Linked DNA regions of Drosophila melanogaster. The gene in region 1 interacts genetically with each later gene. Each region holds a gene or a part of one and is shown in the gene's direction. Other genes may lie near its edges.

What was found.
Region 2: of sha (region 1) and frtz, changing one enhances a phenotype caused by changing the other (phenotypic enhancement), as found in Drosophila melanogaster (one study listed by BioGRID).
Region 3: of sha (region 1) and in, changing one enhances a phenotype caused by changing the other (phenotypic enhancement), as found in Drosophila melanogaster (one study listed by BioGRID).
Region 4: of sha (region 1) and Vang, changing one enhances a phenotype caused by changing the other (phenotypic enhancement), as found in Drosophila melanogaster (one study listed by BioGRID).

The regions. Positions count from the first base shown.
Region 1 is NT_033778.4:11,322,492-11,327,315, forward strand, and holds the start of sha (shavenoid), read left to right. Parts: upstream 1-1,822; 5' UTR 1,823-1,919; intron 1,920-1,980; 5' UTR 1,981-2,082; intron 2,083-3,296; exon of another isoform or gene 3,297-3,298; 5' UTR 3,299-3,765; intron 3,766-4,824.
Region 2 is NT_033779.5:1,710,802-1,717,445, reverse strand, and holds frtz (fritz), read left to right. Parts: upstream 1-1,594; 5' UTR 1,595-1,889; coding exon 1,890-2,307; intron 2,308-2,972; coding exon 2,973-3,273; intron 3,274-3,328; coding exon 3,329-4,279; intron 4,280-4,337; coding exon 4,338-4,849; intron 4,850-4,903; coding exon 4,904-5,301; intron 5,302-5,358; coding exon 5,359-5,518; intron 5,519-5,578; coding exon 5,579-5,694; 3' UTR 5,695-6,144; downstream 6,145-6,644. Other genes in the region: Rim2 (replication in mitochondria 2), read left to right, coding at 217-343; mRpL48 (mitochondrial ribosomal protein L48), read right to left, coding at 6,161-6,595. UniProt on the Drosophila melanogaster protein: Probable effector of the planar cell polarity signaling pathway which regulates the septin cytoskeleton in both ciliogenesis and collective cell movements. Functions cell autonomously to regulate wing cell hair polarity and number.
Region 3 is NT_037436.4:20,365,270-20,370,789, forward strand, and holds in (inturned), read left to right. Parts: upstream 1-1,928; 5' UTR 1,929-2,046; coding exon 2,047-4,656; 3' UTR 4,657-4,990; downstream 4,991-5,520. Other genes in the region: Toll-9, read right to left, coding at 355-649; CG13247 (uncharacterized protein), read left to right, coding at 5,243-5,480. UniProt on the Drosophila melanogaster protein: Plays a role in the definition of cell polarity via the planar cell polarity (PCP) cascade. Acts downstream of fuz and accumulates asymmetrically in wing cells to regulate planar polarity in the wing. Probably acts by regulating ciliogenesis.
Region 4 is NT_033778.4:9,101,464-9,107,333, forward strand, and holds Vang (Van gogh), read left to right. Parts: upstream 1-1,774; 5' UTR 1,775-2,112; coding exon 2,113-2,353; intron 2,354-2,420; coding exon 2,421-3,925; coding exon of another isoform or gene 3,926-4,006; 3' UTR 4,007-5,333; downstream 5,334-5,870. Other genes in the region: CG8777 (uncharacterized protein), read left to right, coding at 1-462, 521-952, 1,013-1,187, 1,247-1,434, 1,494-1,656.

The DNA.
Region 1 (4,824 bases):
ATAGTTGAATTGTGGATGGGGTTAGTGGATAGTGAATAGTGGATGGAGGTGCTGTAGCACTAACAGTATAGACCAGTTCCGAGTTGGCAAAGCGCCGTTTGATGCTCTAATTTATACAGCATACTGATGAGTTGACCGCTGTTCTGGAATTGTTCTCCTACGGGTTTGGGTTCGGTTCGTTTCGATTCGTTTCGGATTGCTTTGGATTGCCTGGCTCTGGTCACGAAAAAAAGCTGCAGATCAGAGCACACCTGACCAGACACGGGAACCAGCAAACACACACGGTATCAGTAACTCAACTCACCCAGAAATGGAAATATTCGTAGCGGTTAGCGTTTAATTGAAATGCATTTGGCTTGTTGTCTGTCAATCAACCGTTGCGATGGATGGATAGGCTCCGGAACTCGGCCGCCCAAGGCCCGAAGGGTAATGGAGCTATTGGATCTTGGCCAGGATGCACACGCAACCCCATGGCGCCGTCATACGCCACTTTGCCAAGTCATCAAAACGGCAAAATCACATCCATAACCAACCGCACGCAATGGGGATTCTTCGTAATGAAGATTCGCCTCCTGCTTGGGGAGTTTAATTATTCAATCTGGCCAACGAAAGTAATAACAATTATCAGTGTGTTTGGCGAAATTACCTCCGATTGACACCTGATTTTTAATGCTAGTTAAAGAGTTCTGGACAGAAGAATGGCTTGTTTCTAAGTAATCGCCAGATAGCTAGACTTTTTAATTACTCATCTTAACTTGGGTCGACAATTATTTCTGCAATTGTCATAAAACTTTAGAACCAATTAAAAGTGACGCAGCGTAAACGGTAGCCATATAGATTATGGTTTTACACCTGATTTTAAGTAGTCATTAAGAGTTGCAGAGAAATAAGGCACACCGTTCCGTATTTATAAATAATTTAGGTGCGTGACGTGTGTTTAATTAGATCTGGTTAAGGATAGAAAACACTTGTCATACAACTTTTAGAAGATAGTTGACAAATAGTTGATTGTGCAGAATTATGAGTATTTGTGCTCAAGTTCTTTTGGAAGCAGTTAAAACATTACGGCCAACTGAAACCTACATTCCCAATTGGCCATATTCAAATAGTAATTTAAATGAATGCAGAGATGTTCAAAAAGTAGAGAGCTCCAATAATTATCAAACCTGGACATCTGGACAGACACTCGCATCCTCCATTAACCGTTATGGACTGCGGACTCGAAGTGGACCGACCAAGTTCAATGAGCGCATTTTCATGTTTATTGCAGAAGCAATTGGTAATAAGTGCGCGACCGCAGACGTGGAAAAAAGAACACATTTCTCAATCGTTATTTATGAATACAATTGCAAGTTTGTTTAGCTCGGCCGGAGGCACCACACACTCCACTCCGCCACCAGCGTATCAATAACAAGCCGAGATGAGGCGGAATGCCGGGACATCGAGGACAAGGGGGGTCCACGTACCACTGTAATAAATATTAGTGAATTCTTTTAACTTATATTGCACTTTAGATTAACTTTATATTAAACAGCTAGCCAATAAGATAGGTTGAAAGGGTATACCATTAGGCGTTTGAGTACTAACACTAAACTAACATAACTGCTTAGGTCGTTCAATAACTTAATACTCCCATCACGTATCCCCTCGACACTCCGAACTTTTCTCCCTGTGTACGCATCCCAGACGTGAACTGGTTTCCCAGTTTTCCAGCAGCAGCAGATCAGACGACTCACCGCAGCCGGCGGCCAACCAGCGACGTGTGCCCAAAGTTTGCATAAGTTGGACCACGACATGGCATGGACATGGACGAGGACTTGGATGTGGATGTGGATCCGGACTGGAGCGAAGACCTGGACCTGGACCTGGACCTGGATCGGGCTTCTTTTTACAGTTAAAGATTTATGGATCATGCATGGGTAAATGGCGAACAGATACGCGGTCAATTGTGTGTAGGTAACGCAACGCAATTTATTCCAGCCCGAAAGATAAGAAAAGCCCGGAGGAGCAGGAGACCCACTGATCCAGAGATTCGGAGCTCCGAATCCGATTGACACAGAAATACAAATTCGAACAGTGAGCGTCATAAAATGCAGATAGACACAGTCATAAAAGTATAAATAAACGGTCGAAGGCCCATTCTTGAGAACTGTATTTGGACGATAATGTTGAGTAGTGGCTGCAAGAAGGCGGGACGCTGGGTATCATTAGATGGAGATCTACGAAACTAAAACTTTCTAAATGACGGGCGGCAACTTTAGCGGCAAAAAACCAAAACTGTAAATGCAGCCAAAGCAAATAGTTGCAGCGGCGTCGCCAACTAAAGTATAATTATTGGCCAGACGAGATGGGAATGAAGACGAAGACTGTAGACTGCAGACTGTAGACTGCGGACTGTAGCCTGCGTATTGAAGACTGCCAAGCTGCATACTGAAGACTGGCATAGCTTTGCAGTCTCCAACTGGGAAACTGCACGTACGCAGCGCCGGCAAAAGGAGATGCCAATATTTCTATAAATTTCTATATATATTTTTTTTCGTTTTTTTATTTAATTTTTTGTCGTTTTGTGTGCCACTGCTTAACTGTTTTTAATTGAAACCCGTTTGCGGTAATTGTCTTTTTGGCTTGTTGCCCCGACCGCCTTACTATATATGTTATAACTTGCTTATGTCAAACAGATTGGCCGTGTAATTTGAGGCAGCCCCATAACTCCACCTGCCGTGGAACTTTTCGAAAGTTTTCACTTGTTCTGCTGCACGGATCTCCGGATCCATGGTTTTTTTCGATCTTAAGATCGTGAATCTGCAGATCTTGAGATTCCATGAAGTGCAGCTGCACTCGAGCGCAACTAAAGCGAGTAAATTGTCATAAATTGAGTTGAACCAATGACAAATGACGTTTTTTTTTTCTTGTTCCGCAGCTTTTATCAAACTGGAGCGTGAATCTTGGAACGGTACTGGGGGATTCCTGTCATTTCTACCGCCGGCCACACGGCGTATGCGCGATGCAGAACCTGTCCCAGTCTTTGTTAATTAGTCTACAGTTAGAGATCTTCGCCTTCACACATCACAACACGCAGGCATTGCCAGCAGTTGGCTGTTCGGCTGTTTGGTTGTACAATTTGTCAAAACACAAACGGACCGAACTTATACTTTCAAGATATAAGAGCGTGGAGCAGAAAAGAAAACTCGTTTAAGAGCGCACCGCCTCTCTCCGGAACTTTTCTTCAGGCTTCAGTCTACAGTCTTCAGTGTTCGGATTCGGCTTTGGTTTCTTTGAGCTGCGATTGCTTTGGCAGTCGCACCAACGACGGCGACCTTGATAGACGTCTTAGCGGTTCGAAAGACATCGAGAAAAATCCCACAAACCCTCTGTGCAACCTTCATTCGCGAAGAAAAGCCGCCGCTGCCTTCGCTTTCTTTGCGGCCAAAACAGAGGAAAACAAAAGAAACCGAAGCGAATTTTCTAAAAACAATAGCAATAACAGTTAGCGCGACGCTGGTTGTTTATGTGTTATTTAGTGTGTGGCACGAGATGAAGATGTTTCAAAAATGCTGAAAAACGTGCAGAAAATGCTGCCGAAGAAATGTGTGAAAATGCCAGCAGATGCAAAGTGAAGTTAAGCAAGTTAACCAAGTTAAAACCGAAAAAGAAACCGCTTAAGTTTATGTGCGAAAAGTAATCCTGGTTGTACCTTGTCGGGAAAATTAACGGCCAAAGGTGTTAATTTATTCACCTAAACTGCAACCGAGCTCTGCAATGTGAGTACATGACATGAAACTAAAATTGGAATATCGCGCGACCAGATCTAGATTTTGTTTTTGTGCTGGCAAAAAGGGCTTGCTTTGCCCCTTGGCTCCGGCTAATCAGACCGATGCCAATTGAGTTTAGGTCACTGGGCATGGGCACTCTCCCAAATTGAAAATCTTTTTTTATTCGGGAGAAAGTAATTTGGGCTAGAAAATAGCTCAAAACGCCAAAGCAAAACACCGGGCATTGCACCGCCGTAATTCGGTCTTAACAACCGGCCGAAACCGTTGGACAGCCGGCCATGTCCAAGTTGGCCCTAAGTACATATTAAAGCACATTAAGGCGGCGAGCAAATGATGCGCTCCTCTGGCCACCACAATGGACTGTGGAACCGGGAGCCGGGAGCCGGGAGCCGCTAACACAAAATAATAATAATAAAAATAACAGCGGAATAAATTTGAAATTTGTTATTGCGCTGGAATAGCTGGGATGATGCTCCAGAGTTTCCAGCTAATCGGCTGCCTTCATGCTGCTCCGCTGCTGCTAGCGTGTTCTAAGTGTTAAAAGTACGCCGAGTGTGACGTCGACTGCACTCGGAAGTGTAGCGGCAGCTCCGGCCAGACAATGGGCCCATCATCTAGTGCCCGGAGTTTGGAGTTGGAGTTGCAGCCAGCGCCAACTCCAGCTCCAACTCCATGGTCGGTGCATGTTCATGTGAATTGCAATGGCCAGGTTAGAATGCGTTGTGGTAATTTCTACACCCTTGCAGAGCACATAGCTTTCTGCTGGGTATGACCAACTTGTACCCAGTTCGAATATAGTATTCTGAGTATAGTATAGTAATAGTATTCTTTTCTAAGAATACCCATTTAAAGACTAGGAAAGCGCTTAAATGACTTGGATGATTTTCACAAATTGAAAGTTATTTTTATCCGGCATTAGAAAGCAAGCCATTGAAAGTTTAACTGTTTCAATGGGCTAATAATGAACCCTTTTAAAATGCTGTTTTTAACTTAACTGCGCTTAAACCAGCAATCGTAAACAATAAACTGGCCATTAACTAACCATTAGCTG
Region 2 (6,644 bases), on another chromosome or scaffold:
TAAGAAACATATACATATAAGCTAATGAATTATCATAATGTGCCACCCACGAATTCGTGAAATCTATTTAAATTCTTTTGCGTCGCATATTTTTTGTTTGTTTACCTTAATTTGATTATCACTCTCGAGCGTGCTCACTCGAGGTGTTTTATATATGAGAGCTCTACCTTAGCAAATTCTCCTACTAATTGTAAACTTTACCAACTATTTCCACAGAGGCTTGGCCACGCAGCTGGTGCGACAGATTCCCAACACGGCGATCATGATGGCCACCTATGAGGCGGTCGTCTATGTGCTCACGCGGCGCTTCAACAACAAATCGAACGAGTTCTACGACTTTTAGATGCCTTTCAAAGGACTGGAGAAGGAGTAACCCAATCTGTGCATATGTAGACGCGACTGCTGCAACTTTATGTAATTTTATCCCTCGTTTTTAAACGATCCAAACCAACGAGCGCAAATTCTTAGTTAACTAGCTTCTAAGTCAGATATGAAACGAACTCGATAGACTTAAGACGTTAGACGTTGAACGTTGGCCAACCAATCGAAAAAAAAAAAGAAGCAAACAAAGAAAAAACCAATAATGGGAAACACGCACCAGGATCGAAGTGCACCATCCACACCCTAAACCCACTTGCTGCATGCCACAGAAGGATGTGGTATGCCACCGCAGGGCGAAACGTTATCAAAATTTGAAAAGGCTGCTATTTAGTTAAAGTTACAATATATATTGAGTGTATAAATGTGGTTGATACTTGGATAATATAGTGTACATAGGACTCGATTCGCTCAGAGTGCATTGTAAATAGTTAAAGAGTGAGTTCGCTGGCGTAGTTTTCTTAGTTGTAAGCACAAAATGTTGAATCGGCCGCAGTTGCCAGTAGATGCCGCTAAATATATATATATATAGATATAAAGCCGACCGATCCGATTCGTAAACTGTAAAAGTTTCCGTTAAGTTTCCTCAAATGCGATATACGATTTAGTTATCATTACTCTACTATATTACTTTAACTATATTGATACAATTTTTGCTGTTTATTTAGTCCATTAGTTAGCTAGTTAGTTAGTTATCCCCCCCCCCTCCACGCAAAACGTATTTCACTGATAATGAGCAAAGAACTAAGGAAACCACTGTGAATAATTGATTGCAATCCGATTTGATGGTGAAATCAATAAATACAACAATTTTGTTTAAAAATAACCCACTCGTTTCCCATTTAATATATATGTACATTATCTTATCTTAACAATCGTCTGCAGTCGAACATAGTTCATCTTGGCTAACCAGACTGCCGCCCATAAAAGTGAGATGAGATAAGCCGATTTGGCCAAGATAATACGATTTCGCACAACTAAATTAAAGTGATTTATTGGCTAGCTACTACACTGCGAAAGTAGTGGTAGCTTATTGTAAATATTTTATTTTTCTGAATTTCAAAAATTTAGATCCTGGTTCGGGTACGTGCTAAAAACATAGCATAGCCTGGTTCACAACCTATGTGCTCCATCGAAGATCTCCACCACGTGAGCGATCGCAGTTGTAGTCCATCTATATCACGCCACCACCACGCTCAGCGACGTAACAAAGTGCCGTCTCTAGTAACGTAAGCAGTGTTTCGAGCAACAAGTTTATTTTATTTTCATAAACAAAGTTTGTTTAAAGCGAAAAATCCTGGCCAAAGTGCTAATTCGTTGGCTATTCCGCGAGCAACCTTGATAACGAGTCGCAGAGCAGTCATAGAGCAGCGCAATTAACCCCGATACAAAGCAATCAGTGCAATTGGAGCAGCTTGAAAGGCACACGCCAACAAATCGAGATCGAGCTGATCGAGTCGCGTTGACACCCATCATTCCGCCATGCAAATCGATGCACTGGAGGCCTGAATATGCTGCTCAGCGAGACCCATTTCTGGACCACGTTGCGCGAGGATGTGGTGCGGATCAAGAGCCAGGACCTGGGCGCCTTTCGCTACCTCAGGCAGCGCGACAAGGAGCAGGAGCAGCAGGACCTCGCCTGCCTGGCCAAGCGAGACTATACGGAGCGTCGCAATGGACTGGCCGTGCTGAAGAACTCTGGTCGCAAGTCCACCGGCCGCTTGAAGGACAACCTCAAGAAGCTGGAGGACCTGCTGCGCCAGCACAGGATCATCCACTCCGAGTGGCAGGACGCGGCGCAGGTGCTGCTCCTCTTCTCACACGGCCTGATCGCCCACATCTGCGTGGACATCTACACGGGCGACATTCTGCGCATGGTCTTCGAGAAGTACCTGGTGGGCAAGCTCGCCTCCGAGGTCATTACGGATGGTATGTGCGATTCTCTCCTTTCACCCGCTCCAGCCCGCCCTCCATCGCATTAGAGCCATCCATCAATCAGCTTGGGCATTGCATTTCTGCATGTGCAGCTCGACTGGCAGACATCTCAACTTGCAGCGTTCGAAAATCAGTTAATATGCGTTAACATCACGCAATACATAATGGCTATTTCAGGCGTAATTAAAGGTTCCTCATCATTAGAACGAATTACCAAGACAGCTTGCTAGAAACACATGCATGCCATTTAATTATTCACTAAGCTCTCAGCTATAAAAGCTGTCCTGCATTTAGTTCTTTGTGCTGTTTGCCGCTTGTCATCCAGGGTATCAGTCATTCGATAGAGTGCAGTCCGCATTTGGCCTTGCTCCGCGGAGTGCTGCTTGTGCAGTTATGGAGAAATTTGCATTGGCAACAAGTGCGACTTGATTTGCACTTTCCCACACCAACACAGCCGCACGCACACATGCAGGGCATGCAATTATTGTAATTTTTAATTAATCTGCTGGCTTGTTTTGTTGCCTGTAAATATGCGAACCCCCAACCCCTTTCCCCCATCCACCATCCTCCGGCTTTCCATGTTTTGTTCGAGCCACTCATTCAGCTTTGTCGCTTGTGTCTCTTTTCTCGTCGTGCGCCCGCATCCGTTGTCTCGCCAGCTTTTTTCACCCGTTCCCACATCGTCTTGGCCTACAATACCAACCAGCTGACGGTGGTGCATCTGCAGAGGCCTAATGCTCGCTCCCAGGGACCGGAGAAGATCGCCAATATGGATCCGCGCATCTTCCACGTGATCATACCGGGCGCCACAGAGCGCAAACTATCCCGCCACCTCACAGTTAACGCCAGCTTCGATCTGTTCGTGGTTTGGACGCAGTCCTCGCAGAACGAGGTGTATCCCTGGAGGCCAACGATAAGGGACCAAGATCGTGCCAACATACATGTGTTCAAGATCAAGGGGTAAGTTGCACAGTACAACTCCCACTCCATGGCCCAGTCTAATCGCTTTGCTCAGCTTGCAGCTGGAATCGATTGCCTATTGCTGGTCGGAGAACGATCCGCTGTGCGTGGACTTCCTGCGAAGCAGCGAGAGCCAGATCATCACCCTGGAGCAGAAGGTTTCCCGCAAGGGCGACATAAGCGCAGAAATCTGCTCCTACGAACTGGCCGCCGGCAAGATGCAGCGCACCGCCATTACCTCCATTCCAATGGGCGCCCAGATCTGCTCCTTTGCCTTCAGCCCCGACCAGGAGAAGCTCTTCCTGGGCAGCGTCGATCGCAATATCTGCCTGCACGACCTGGTCCAGCAGTCGACAAAGTACGCCAACCAGATTGAGATCGTGCCCAATCAGTGCGCCTGGCACTGCGACTCCGCCATGCTTTGCGTGGCCAACGAGCGATCGGTGCTGCAGTGCTTCGACCTGGCGCTGGCCACCATTGGCCATCAGCTGGTTAGCGAGAATGTGACGCCGTCCAGCTTGCTGGATCTGTCGCACTACTTCGTGGCCCAGCCAACGCTGCTGAGTGTCGCCTTCAGCCGAAAGCCAGATTTGTCCACTTTTAAGCACACCTACGCCCAGACGGATTGCCTGCTGCTGCTGGTGTACGAACAGGGACCTTTGGCCTGCATGCGCATCTTTGGCGGCACCGGAATGCGCGGCGACATCCACAATTCCGGACTCACTGCGGACGTCATTGCGGACAAGTATCTGCGGCTGCAGCAGCCGGACAGAGCGGTCAATGTCCTGGCCGCCCTCAACTGGGAGACCTACGGAGCCATGTGCCTGATTACGCTGCACAAGATAGCCAACTATGTGTTCTTCGGCGGTGACCAGCGACGACCTCGCATCGAGCTGATGGCCAGAGCGTTGAAGACATTCGCCCACACGCTTTCCGAGGAGACGAAGGACGAGTTCAGCGATCAGGTGTACGATCTGAAGCGCCGCTTCTGCTTCTATCTGCTGCGGTGAGTTGAGCTCGTGTGAACATGCCACTTTTATGCTCAATCCTTTCGTTGCTTGCAGCAAAAACCTCTTCGCTGAGGCCTTCGAAATCGCCCAGGATGTGGCCGACTATGACATCTTCATGGACCTGTACAACCTAACCAAGTGCATCTCAAGCCTGAGTGAGTTCGCCCAGGTGGCCTTCAGTCAGGCAGCTGCCATAATCCACGAGGAAGATCGCGCCAACGGCAATCTCAGCCTGACCTGTGACCTGCGCTCGGAGTCGGCCTGTTCGCTGTCCACCTGCTCGGACATGTTGCGCGGTCAGGGAGCAGGAACTGCCCCCGAAACCGGACTAGGCGCAAGTCAGCCACAAAGCCAGCAGGTCCTGAAGAACTATGTGCCACCGCTGCCCTCGTTCAAGTCGAAGGTATTCAACGCTGAGATGATCAAGATCAACATACCGAAACCGGAACTGAGGCCGCCCTTGCCGAAGGTTTCAATAGCGCCGCCAACATCTTCGCTGGCGAGTCTAACCCTGAAGTCCAACAGTAGTCTGCAGCAGGCGCCCGCAAAGAGTCTGCATCCAAATGGTTCGTGTGAAGAAAATTCCCTTCATAACTTAAATAATTTATCCATTATTTCAGGCAATTTGTGGTCCCAGGACGTGCCGGATCAGACGGTGGGTCTGCCTATGGCTAGTAGTCCACTTCCTCGTCTTCCGCCTTCAAACATTCCAGATCAGAGCGCCCAGCTGGGTCAGTTCAGCACGATGCCAGCTTCGCCTCCGCCGACAGGGTCCTATCAGCCCAAGTTTTATCAACATCCGCTTGTCTCTGGCAATATTCCCGCCATGCTGCCATCGCTCACCAGCGAGGACTACCAGAAGCGCCTGCTGCAAAAGAAACCCACCGCATCCATATTGTCCAACCCGGCGAATCCAGCACCCACCAACGGAGAAGCACCCGCCACGCCCGCAAAGTCACAAACGGCCGAAAAGAACAAAGTCAAGTTCTCGGATACAATTCAAGTGGCGGTGGTGCCAGTGAGTTAACAAATCAATCGATGATGTGACAGTTTACTAATGCTCTTACTCGAACAGGAAATTCCTCGCAAGGAAAAGCCAATGCCACCCAAGAGAAATGGTTACTCCAGGCCCGCTGCGCGACATCTGACAAATCCTAAAAAGGAGCTCGCAGACAGCCTGCCGCTCTGTCATCCGAACGACGAGTATCTAAAGGATTTCAACCCCATTACGACCAGTGGGTATTTGTTGAGTTCACCAATAACCTTGCCCCATTGACCGTGTCATTTCTTCGCAGATGTGACTAAGCCGCCCATCCGACGACGCGAGGAAGAACCCAAGAGCAGCAGCAAGGGCGGCAACTCCTCCTCCTCCTCGTCGTCCATCAAGGTGGTCCACTTCGGCGTGGTCTAATAATTCATAGTGCAATTCCCAGGCGTACACCACACAACGGTTAAGCGCTGCGTCTTCCAATCGTTTGTAACTATTGTAGTAGGCTGCTCCTTCTACCCTCTTCCTTTACTCTTAGTCATACATACCTAATTATACATAGCCAATCTAGTCATAAGCTTATACACTCATACACCCATCCTTAACATACAAATATTATCGAGAAACTTATCGACTAATCGACTCGCCACTCTGCAGAGAGCGCGGCAGTCAGTCGCTGTTGAACCAAGCTAAAGGACAGATCAAAAATAAAAGAGACACGTGAAATTGTATTAGAATATTAACTTCTGTAAACGGCGGCTAAACTATTGCCGTCCCAGTTAGTGCAAAGCTTTAAATAGGAAAGTTTTACTCATAGGTTCTCTATACTCTTTACACAGGTTACTCATTAAAGCTAAGCATTAAATGTTTGCCAAATCGGAGGCGCCGCCTACTTCTTCCTGGTGGTGGTGGGTCCGCCCATGCGCTCCAGCTCGTCCTTCAGGTCGAGCAGCTCCTTGTCGGGCACGTAGCGCCGCTCCTCGCAGTCGTCGGTGTACTCCTGCACCTGCAAGCTCACACCCTCGGGCAGCGCCGCCTGGGCCAGGCGCAAGAACTGCGGATAGACTGGCGCATCCACATTGTTCAGCTGCAGGTTGCGCTCGTAGGTGGTCAGCTTGTACTCCGATTCGATGACCGTGGAGTTGGGCCGCAGTCGCTGCACCGTGGTCTTTTGCGGAGGGAGGGCGTAGCAGTCGGAGACGTCCAAGTCCAGGTACTCGGCCAATCCGTGCAGAAACCTCTGGTAGCTCTCCAGCTGCGGGTAGTCGTAGCCCTTGATCTGCACATTCAGGCTCTCGTACTGCGGGAATTTCGGCTTGAGGGACTGCAAACGGAGAACAATGGTTACTGACCACCAAAATAATTGCTCATCT
Region 3 (5,520 bases), on another chromosome or scaffold:
ATACTGCTTCCGCCAAAAAATATCAACATTGAGATCGTTTTCGTCTCGAAATCAAGAAGGTTTCTTCTAATGAGCATGATTGATGCCACTGAGTACGCTGAACACAACCGATATCGGTATTTTTTTAAATTTCTCTGGGTGTAGTAATGCAGAGCTTTCACTGATAAGGGGTTCCATAATAATGTTACCGATTCTGGTGGGATTAGGCTAACATCAAAGACCTTCTATAAGCAGTCGATCCGCGTTGCCGGAAGCGTGAAAGTATATGTATATAGTTTCGAGAGCTGTTAACAATGCCCAATCAAACTGAGACTTGGGCAGGGATTTTTATTGGACTTTATTGGATAGGTTTACCGTATTTCTTTGTGCTGTCCCTGAGGGTTCCGTTGGGAAACTGCCACCATATCACCTCGTCCTTGATCAGATCCAGCAGACAACTGTTCCCATCATCCGATTCGTACTTCAACATGAGGGATTTGAGGTCCGTTCTCTCCTTGCTGACCTCTTCGGCCTCTTCGCTGGATGTTGTGGCTGAATCTGGTTCTATTATCAAGCCATCCTGGATCGAAAACTCGGTGTATGCTTCCCTTACGTTTCCAAGGAACAGGCATACTAATACGATCACATCCCATATATATTTTGGACACATATTCACTGAATTGCGCACCTATAGTGCTTGTAATGGGGGATTATAAATAAGATTTGACAGCTGTTTGATTTCACAATCACACAGATAATCGCGTTCTATACAATTTTTAGCCACTCATTCAGTTTCACTGGGTATTCCGAAATCTAAGCCACATTTTGTGATAGTTAACCGCGGCCGACATTTCCCGCAAATCACTTTATTTGCGGCTGGGCGAAGCACACGCCTTGGATTCGCGCAATGGACTGGCTGGAGGACTCAGCTTGCTCCGATGGTCAGCAGAAATAATAGGTAGCTGCGGTACACATGTGCGGCTAATTCTGCCATGATACGGCTTATCAATTTTGGCAATATCTTCCCTTGAATGGCCCGGGACTATCAGCGTATCGCTTTTTCGGTGGCACTGGGCGTCCCGCTTCACGCCCACGCCATGTTCCTTATCGGATAATTATCTGGACGTCGGAGTACGGCTATTAGGCCCGTACTTCAATGGGATCGGTGCTCCGGATCAACCGATATAGCCACGGCTCGCTTTTGGCCAGCACATAGTGAGTTCAGTGAGACACAATTTTCTATACTACTCGATTGTTTGCAGATAGAAAAGTTTTGATTTACGGCGTCCAGTCCGGAGACCGATATGAAAAAAATCACTTGGAAAATCTTAGATTATCAGACCATCGGCGATACGAAAAGGTGGCCACTAAAACACCCGGGTCCACAAATGCCCAATTAATTATATCAATTCCCTTCATATCATGCATACACAGTTTATTGGCCGTAAAATAATTTATTGGGAGATAGGACTTCAGCGGTAGTCTCCTATGACAAATGATCATCGGATACCCATTGAGGAAGCAACATTTTACTAATCTTCCGCTGATTAACACAATCCTTATGATAGCACACCAATTTTGCTTTAAGTTCCACCAAATCTTCAATGCGACTTTGTGCAGAGTCAGCATATCGCAGACGGAGCTCTATTTTTATAAGGATTTTCCATGATTATTATTTATAACTTAATATCACGCTGAAATCAACTGGTTAGCAGTCCAATCGTTAAATGCGAACACTTATAAAAAGAAAAGAAATTGGTTATTGTATTATGGTAACTATACTTGTCTTAACCCACGGTGGGTTTTGAGTTTCCCCAGCTTGAAAGAGAACCAGATCACAAAGGGAGTGGATCGTTTCCCGCTGGAATTTGAGTGGAGTGGTATTGAGCTGGTCGGAGCCAGAGCTCAATTAGAAACTGGTTTTGAGTGCTGAGATCGGATCTCGGCTTTCAGTCGACATTCAGAGCTGAGCTGAGGCGGTATCAACCGGCGGCAGATAGTTGAGTGTGTACCTGGAATAGTAGGCCACTAATAACTATCCGCCCAGTTAACTATCCCCGGTAAACTATGCGCAAATCGCCGGCCAGCCTGCCGTCGGAGGCCTTCTCCAGTTCGAACTCCTCGCTGAGCAACTCGTACAGCGATGGCAGCGACCTGGCCAACTGGGAGGAGTACGTGTCCACAGACGGCAGTCTCTTCTACATGGAGTATGTGCGATGTGAGAAGACTGGCGTCTCGGCAGAGCGGCGGGTGGAGTTCATGCGTCGATCGCTGCGCCTGGGAAAGAAGTCGTCGCGTCGCCAGCCGCACAGCAATAATCAGAATCAGAGTCAGAACCAAAACCAGTCCCACGGCCCGAGCAGGTTGGATAGCCAGACGGAGCCGCAAGAGTTCCGCTTCTCACAGTTCAAGACGGCTGCCCCCGATCCCAAGAAACTGGATCTGGTGATCACAGCCGCTGATCGCTTCCGTTTCGGACGACGATCCACGGCGGTGGAGTCCATACTGGGCTTCCGGGTCCTGCCCTTTCCGGACCAACCAGAATGCCTGATGGTCGATGGGTTCGTTCACGATGTGAGTGCGCTGCAGCACGGCATCAAGCGGGGAGATTGGTTTAGATCCCTGAATGGCATAGAGGTGTACGCCAGCAATGTGGATGAGTTGCTCAAGCAGTTCGTGGAGCCCACTCAGGTGTGCCTAGGCTTCCAGTCGTGCGGTGCGGCCAGTGCAGTTTCGCCCACCGATCCGGGGTATAATCGAAATGTCCGCGAGGAGCAGGTGTGCAAGGTGGAGAACTTTCCCATGTTCACGGAGAAGTTTGAGCAGATGTTGATAACGGAGGGGAACTTCGGTATTCCCGGTAGTTCCGTGGACATAAGAATGCCCTTTGCTATGCTGCTACTCCCACCGGAGTGCTATCAGCATGAACAGCAACAGGATTCCCTCTACTACTTTCCGGAAATCCCCGACAACTTCCTATTCAAGGCCCGTGGGAGTTTCCTCACCCTGCACGCCGTACTCAGTGAACTGCACACCCAGCCGCTGAGTTCAAGGCTGCTGGTGGATCAGGTGCAATACCACGTCAACTACCGCCAACTGAATGGGTTCCTAGTCCTCTTCGCCTACGCCGGAGGACTCTGCTGTGCGGCGGAGTGCAGCCTGCGATCGGATGAGCTAATCGGATACATACGCTTCTCTCTGCCGGGCTTGGTCCTGGAGAGCTTTAATCAGGAGAGAGAGCCGGGGAATAGTTCGAGACTGAAGCTGTTCCTTCGACACTTTTGCGAAATCCAGAGAACCCGGCTCGTAGCCAGATGCCATGGTCATATTCGTTTCGAGGAGCTCCTGGGCCAATCCCGCAGCCTGCCACTGCCAAAGGAAGCGCAGCTGCGCATCTTTGATGCTCTGAGTGAAATGGAGGCCATGGACTATCGCAACTGGAACGACGAGCCACTCACCACCCATCGCGAGTTCTTCATCTACGGCAGTGCGCTGTACTACGATGGCTTCCTGGTGGCCAGCCTGCTGCCACCGGAAGTGAGGGTGAGTGTAGAAGGATTCCTGCGCTGCCGCGGAATCTTCGAGTTGCTCGGAGCTGCTCCGGGAATCAAAGTTCGCGAGATGTACGTGTGGGAGGAGATAGTGTTGCCCAGTGCCACAGGGCGATATTTCCTTACCATCTGCACCAAGAACCACTTGAGTCTGGCCGTGATCTTGAAGATCTTCGATGCTCCAGACATGGCGCCGGATGCGGTGGTGGGTCCATCGCTCTTTTACATCGAGGAGATTCAAGAGACGCTGGACCACCTAGTACAGTGCGGCATTGAATCCCTGGCCATGTTCTGGTCCGTTTCCAATAAGAGACCCGAGGTGCTGGACGCCACTGCCAGCGAGAGTAGAGATCAGGAGAAGGAGCCGAACAACCGACTGGAGTCCTTCCTCAAGCAGAAGCTAACCGTGCTGAGTCCTTCGGTGGAGGAGGAAGCCCAACTGTGCTCGTCCCTGGGTGGGTCTTCCATACATAGTCTGACTCCCAGTGAGGACGAGTCCTGTCGCAGGCGATTGACCCCCATCCATGGTACTGCCGAGGACTCAGACAGCGGTTCCGACTGGGAGAACTTCGCCGTACAGCATCCACTTCACTATGGACTGAATCTCGGGGCCGAGAGCCACAGTCAGAGCCAAATGACAGAGTCCATGTGGAAGGAGATCAACAACGTGGTGCCGGTCAAGATATCCGCTGGCTGGAAGAATTCCGTTCTGCACTACGTCTACATTGACATAGCCAATGGGTCCTTGTTTGCGCCATTTACCGACAGCTCCGAGAACTCCAACTACCTCTCCGAGATTCGTCAGGCGTGTCACATAATCCACGCCGTGCTGCAGAAATCCAAGCACTATCGCAGGCATCTATCGGAATCCTCGAGAGCACAGACGAACTCGAACGGGCACAGTAGCCACACAGTGTCGCTGGTCAAGGAGCACGGCATGATCCTGGAGGTCAGCACGCAACCCAAGTCGGACGGGCAATCCCAATCCTCGACGAGCAGTCGCTTCGTGGTGGTTGGTCGTCTCTTTCAGTCGCCAGCCAAGGAAGTGTACGTGTGTCACCGGTCCGATGTTCCCCAGAACATAGTCGAAATGGCCTTCCGGTTGTCCTTCTTCTCAATGGGATGACATCTTGGAAGGATACTACCAACTTAGATACTGGCTATGCGTAGAATTCTTGCTATAATATAAACACAAATATTTAAAATGTGGTTTTAACTAAACAAATTACTTTTATATAGGCATTCAAACAATTTTTTAAAATTATATTTAAGAATGCATAATTAATCATTTTCAGCAATTCTATTACGAAAGCATTTGATTTAGGGGAAGTGCAATTTTGTATTTTCAAAATTCGAAAAGCGCAAGCTTGCCAAAACTCTAAGAAATTGAAAAATATGTACATTTCCTCTGAAACGCAGCGAATAAATATGTATGTATGAAGGTATTTCAAGAGGAACACAAACATCGTGCGAATGTGTTTCATTCATTCATAGTTCGTACTAGAGAAGCCATCAAAAGTGTACACTATTTTTAGAGTTTGGTGGGAGGGTCCCATTCTAAAAGTAGTTCCACGCACCAGAAGTCAAAAGACACGCCGACCAATAAATCCACGTGAACGAGTGGCTCAAGGTGGTGCTCCCCAAATTGCCAATTTCCCAAGATTCGTCGACAGTTGTGTTTGGGTGTTTCAACAGAAGAGGATTCTTGGTGGATGGATATGATGACAGCTACGTGGATGCTGTGTCTTGTTCTCTGCTCCACGGCGATGGCGACGGAGGAGGAATCGGGCAGTGGACTGTTCAACGTCACCGGGAATCCCTTGGATACAGAAGCTGCTCCAAAACTGCCCAGCGAAGTGCAGAAAGCTGTTTGCACTGTGACTGCGGGGGAGGTGAAGGCATCTGCCGAGGCTGTCACCACAAAAACCCTTAAGGGAGTGTGTGGATCAGGTGGGTGGTCAGTGGTCTCTTGCCCGTTTGATCTTGAAAC
Region 4 (5,870 bases), 2.2 Mb from region 1:
TAAGGAGTGTAGCAACAGATGGCAAAATTGGAATCTTCTCGGAGTTATCAATATGAACTCCGAAAATGAGAACTTGCCATTGGCACAGCACTGTTTTATTCAGGCTGTAGTGCTGGAAAAAAAGTGCTACACAGCGTGGACCAATCTCGGAGTTCTCTATATTAAACTGAATGAAGTCCGATTGGCCAACGAGGCCTTTACGAGAGCCCAGCAATCAAGTCCCGTGTACGCCAACGCTTGGATTGGACAAGCAATGGTTGCGGAGTTGATTGGCGATCGCGAGGAAGCCTTTGATCTGTTTCGTCACTGCCAGCAGTTCGATTACCATCCGGAGGCGGCGCTTGGATTTGCGCATTGGGTGTGCGAAATGCTGTCGACTCCTGGATCTTTCGACAAGCCGCGCATAAAGCATGCCATCGAACACATGTACGCTGATGTGCTTGCGCTGGATGCCATCAATTGGTAAGTATTATAGTAATGCCCTATCTAAAACCAACTAAAGACTTGCAATACATTTAAGGTATGTGCAAAACGAGGAGACGGATGCGACACCAGCATCGCTGTCGTTCCAGGGATTTCTCTACGCCCGGAAAAACCTGTATCGCCAAGCAATCGAAGCCTTCACTCGGGCGTGTAAGTTGTGCGAACCTGGAGCGGATCGTGACAAGCTCTACACGAATCTGGGATACCTGTACTTAAAAATAGACCAGCCGGAGCAGGCGGCACACGCCCTAAACACGGTTGCACATGCCACATTTAAGCCGATCATTGGCCTGGCCCAGGCATATTATCTAGCCGGTCAGTTGCAGGAATCCTACTCTATTTACAACTCCGTTCTCGGCAACGTGGTTGATCATGGCGATGACAAAGCAGCTACCATCCTCGTGGCTATGGCATCCATGATTTACGACTTTCAGGGCGAAGCGGACACCAAAACCCTACTCTATCAGTGGTTGGTAGCGCAATATTTGTTTTGTTGATTCAACATTTCTAACGTTATAATCACCAAAAGTGTCTTGTTGAAGGAGGTCCCCATTCAGGCGTTGTTTTCAGCCCTTGCCCTAGGTATACTTCATAGAGATAATGCGTTGATCCATACGATACTGACGGAGCTGAATGCGTACGCCTTTAAGAAGGAGTATTGTGCCGACATATCCTATTTAACGGCTCACTACATCCTGATAAATGTTCGTTAAAAGTGGTGAATGTTGTGGTTCTACAAAAGTAATACTATGATTTTGTTTAGGAGGGTGCCCGAAGAGCGTTGTGCTATCTACAGACTCGCATACGAATGTTTCCCAATTCCCGAAGTCTGCGAAGTGTCGTGCTAAAGTTTCTTCTTGATTATTTCTCTGATGACCAATCCTATCGACTGGCTACTTCAAATATGGGTCGAATAACTCTTACTCTGGGACACACTAAGCAACAAAATAGGTAAGACTTGGGAATTTATATACATTGTATTATGATAGACTGAATTTGTTTATATTTAGCATCTTGGCCAGCGAAGAGGCACTGACCACTATATATGCCAGTCAGGCGGTTAGTGCAGTAGACAAAACCTGTTCTATGAAGTTGTTGCAGCGCGCCATACTGCTAAGCCCAACTGACCAGAGAGCCAGACAATTACTTTCCGCTATTATTGCAAATTCATGATATTGTCCAACAAAATAAACTTACTTTAAAATTTAAACTATCAGTTTGGCGGTTGAATTGCCAAACTGATAGTGTTTGAAAACACTAAATGCAATGTGACCGTGCTGCTGATTGTGTTGCGGTGGTCACACTGCGTCGGGGGTGAAGCCAAGTCCACGAAAAAGTGAATAAAAAGCGAAAAATGTGCGAGAAATAGTTAAATAGCGTATGAAATAGCCATGCAAGACACGAATAGTGACAATGTGCCGCAGAATTAGCCGCAGATAAAGCTCTAAATCGCCTATAGGCTATGCACTGCGCCCTGCATACCTGCGTATGAAAAACCTGCTGCCGCCGCAATTACAGTTAGACACTAAAATAGCTGCACGGCCAGGTTGCAAGGTGATTTGGGGCACGTCTCTTCGCGAGCAGGAGATTCGGAATCGGGCATAGCTCTCGCGCGCTAGCCCAATTGCAATGGAAAACGAATCCGTCAAGTCGGAACACAGTGGACGCTCCAGACGCTCGCGGAATCACAACAACAACGGCGGAGGGGGTGGCGGCGGAGGTGGTGGCGGAGGAGGCAGTGTCAACAACGGCTATCACAGGGAGCGGGACCGCTCCAGACATTCCCACCGCAGCACACACTCCTCGAAGTCGGCCAAGGGATTTCAACGTGGCGACATGGCACCGTACCAGACCAGCGTTAATATGACAGGTGAGTTTGTTTAATGGCTCTATCGGTGGAAGGAAACCAATTGACCCATTTATTATTTGGGCACCAGGAGACGGCAGCCACGATGGCCAGGAAGTCATCGAGGTGCAAATCCTTCCGCAGGACGAGAACTGGGGCGAGAATACTACCGCCGTCACGGGGAATACCTCGGAGCAAAGCATCTCAATGGAGGACATAAACAACATGTGGCATCGTGAGAGCGACAAGGGCTTCAGCTTTGCGTGCCGCCGATACGTGGAGTCGAGCTTCTACTTCCTGCTGGGATGCGGAGCGTTTTTTTCGCCAGTGGCAATGGTGGTGATGCCGTATGTGGGCTTCTTTCCGTCGGCCTTCGATCATCCGGAAATAACGCAAACTGTTCGCACCCAGCTGCTGGCCTGCAGTGAGCAGTGCAAGGGCCAACTGGTATCGCTGGCCGCCCGGCTGCTGCTTCTGGCCATCGGCCTGTGGGCAGTGTTCATGCGACGTACATCGGCCACCATGCCACGGATATTCCTATATCGCGCTCTCGTCCTCCTTCTCGTCACCATCTGCACGTTTGCTTACTGGCTCTTCTACATCGTGCAGGTCACAAACGGGGCCAAAATCGTTGTGGAGACGGGCGGCGATGCCGTGGACTACAAGTCACTGGTAGGCTATGCCACCAATTTTGTGGACACTCTTCTATTTATTCACTATGTGGCCGTGGTGTTACTAGAGCTGCGACACCAGCAGCCTTGCTACTACATCAAGATCATTCGCTCCCCGGACGGCGTTTCGCGCTCCTACATGTTGGGTCAGCTGAGCATCCAACGGGCGGCTGTGTGGGTGCTACAGCACTACTACGTGGATTTCCCCATATTTAACCCTTACCTGGAGCGCATCCCAATATCGGTCTCCAAATCGCAGCGAAACAAGATATCAAACAGTTTCAAGTACTACGAAGTGGATGGGGTGAGCAATTCGCAACAGCAAAGCCAGAGTCGAGCAGTTCTAGCAGCCAACGCGCGGCGCCGAGACTCCTCGCATAACGAGCGCTTTTACGAAGAGCACGAGTACGAACGTCGTGTGAAGAAACGGCGTGCCCGTCTTATAACCGCCGCCGAGGAGGCCTTCACCCACATCAAACGCATTCATAACGAACCGGCTCCGGCACTGCCGCTCGATCCGCAGGAGGCTGCCTCGGCGGTTTTTCCCTCGATGGCCAGGGCGCTGCAAAAATACTTACGGGTTACGCGTCAGCAGCCGCGGCATACCTTTGAGAGCATACTGAAACATCTGGCGCACTGCCTAAAGCATGATCTGTCGCCCCGCGCCTTCTTGGAACCCTACTTGACCGAGTCTCCGGTGATGCAGAGCGAGAAGGAGCGACGCTGGGTGCAGTCTTGGTCCCTGATCTGCGACGAGATCGTCTCTCGGCCAATTGGCAACGAATGCACGTTCCAGTTAATTCAGAACGATGTCTCCCTAATGGTAACCGTACACAAGCTGCCGCACTTCAACCTGGCCGAGGAGGTTGTGGATCCCAAAAGCAACAAATTTGTTCTTAAGTTGAACTCCGAAACATCCGTATGACACCACCACAACGCCCCTCCAATCAACACTCCCACTCATAGCAACCAGACGCAATCGTCCTACTTGCATGTGTTTGTCTGATTTTCCCAGCTACTAATTCACATATTCACATATTTTCTTTACTTCAGCCAAATCGATGACGTTCTTGTGAGAACTGCCATCAGGGTAATTGAATTCATTTTTATATATGCCTGAAACACCACAACCAATCAAACCAAGCAATCAAAATTACTTATCAATGAACAAGAGGAGCATTTTTAAATCGATCAAAACCCTGAATTTAAAAAAAAAAAGAAAAAAACATGGAAGTTTAGAAAGGAAAAGTTGTTGTGAGAACAAAATGTCTAGGCAGGCCTCAGCAGCTAAATTTTGATCTTGTAACAAATGATTATTAGATGAGAAGGCAACGTACTTATCAGTGCTAAACTTGAACTTATGACCCGAATATCAAGAAACAATGCTCAAAAGCCCAGTGTATCATCCTAAACCGACGCGAACATATCACACCCTTTGATAAGCAAACATGACTTACAAGTTCCCAAAGTATTAATTATAAGAATGATGGTTTGGCTTGCCGAACCGCGATCTTCAGATATCAACTCTTAAATGCAGCTCTTTTATACACGATTTTTATTTTAGTAAATATGTTTAGTGTAAAGTTGGGCTTACTCTTCGCGGAATATCTAAAATTTTACCCGATATCTGTGAGGCGTGAGCCCGATCGCTAGCCTTAAGAAGGAATGGAGTGAGCCAAGGCAAGCCCATGGAATTTTAGCTAGGACTCGGACTTGCGTCGAAAGTGCATTGGCCACTTTTGACGCGACTTAATAAGATTTTACATACGCACATTTTAAGCCGAAACCGAATGGTCCTAACTCTTCTGCCACAAAGTTGAGAAACGACGAAACAACTATAACTCGAATGCAACTGATGACAAATACATAATATAAGCGAAGACTGCCTGAATATGCATTTTATACACACAAATTGCCAACAGCCACTAGCAGGTGTATGTACTAGCCTGTGCATAGCAACCACATATATACAAAAACTCGTGTATTTTTAGAGACAAAATTATAGTGATAAGGACCCGAATTCGTATTCGAACATGTGTACGTTCCAGTGAACCCAATCTATATATACATACATATATGATATATACCTATTTACAAAACTACTTAGAAACGTTTGCTTGAGGTTTGATTTCATTTTCGTTTTCTAGCTAAATGTCTTCTGTCGAAGCTCTTTTATATTGCAATTATCTAGCAATTACTTAAAGCAATTGGAAAACCAACCTAAGCATACATACCATTTATACATACATTTACTCTCAAACTGTAACTGTTGTAATTGTAACTAGCATAAAAAACAAAATGCGTAAATAAATCAAACCCACTTCTTTAACAGCTTTAAACGAATTGTTCTATCTCGAAGGTGACGCAAATCGTGGAAATGCGCACGTAATTAATTCATTCTTGGGGGTCTTTTGAATGTCTGAAAGTTGCCTTATCAGCTCGGGATTAACAAACAGTTCCTATATTGATTATTGAGCCCAGCAGGTTTACCAAATCGCACTGAAGTATAATGTATGAGTAGATTTAATCGCAATCAATCAAGTTTCAAGTTCTTTGTGATACAAAGACTCGAATGCCTCTCGAATTTCTATGATAAGAGTAATAAGCTCAATTAATTCAAGTGGAGTGAGCACGATGGTCTCATTTCATAAGCTACTTAAATATCAAACTGAGGAAACCCATGATTTGGTGCCTGGTGGTGGATGGTGCGTTCGCTTTTATTTACATTATTTCATAAATACTAGCCAAATGTGAGTGGAATACTAACATATCAGATATCCTTTAAACAATAATAGGCAACAGCTTGCGCTGCTGTTGTTTTTTGGCTTGTGCGTCGTCAGTGCTGTTGGTATAGAACTTTCAATTTTAGA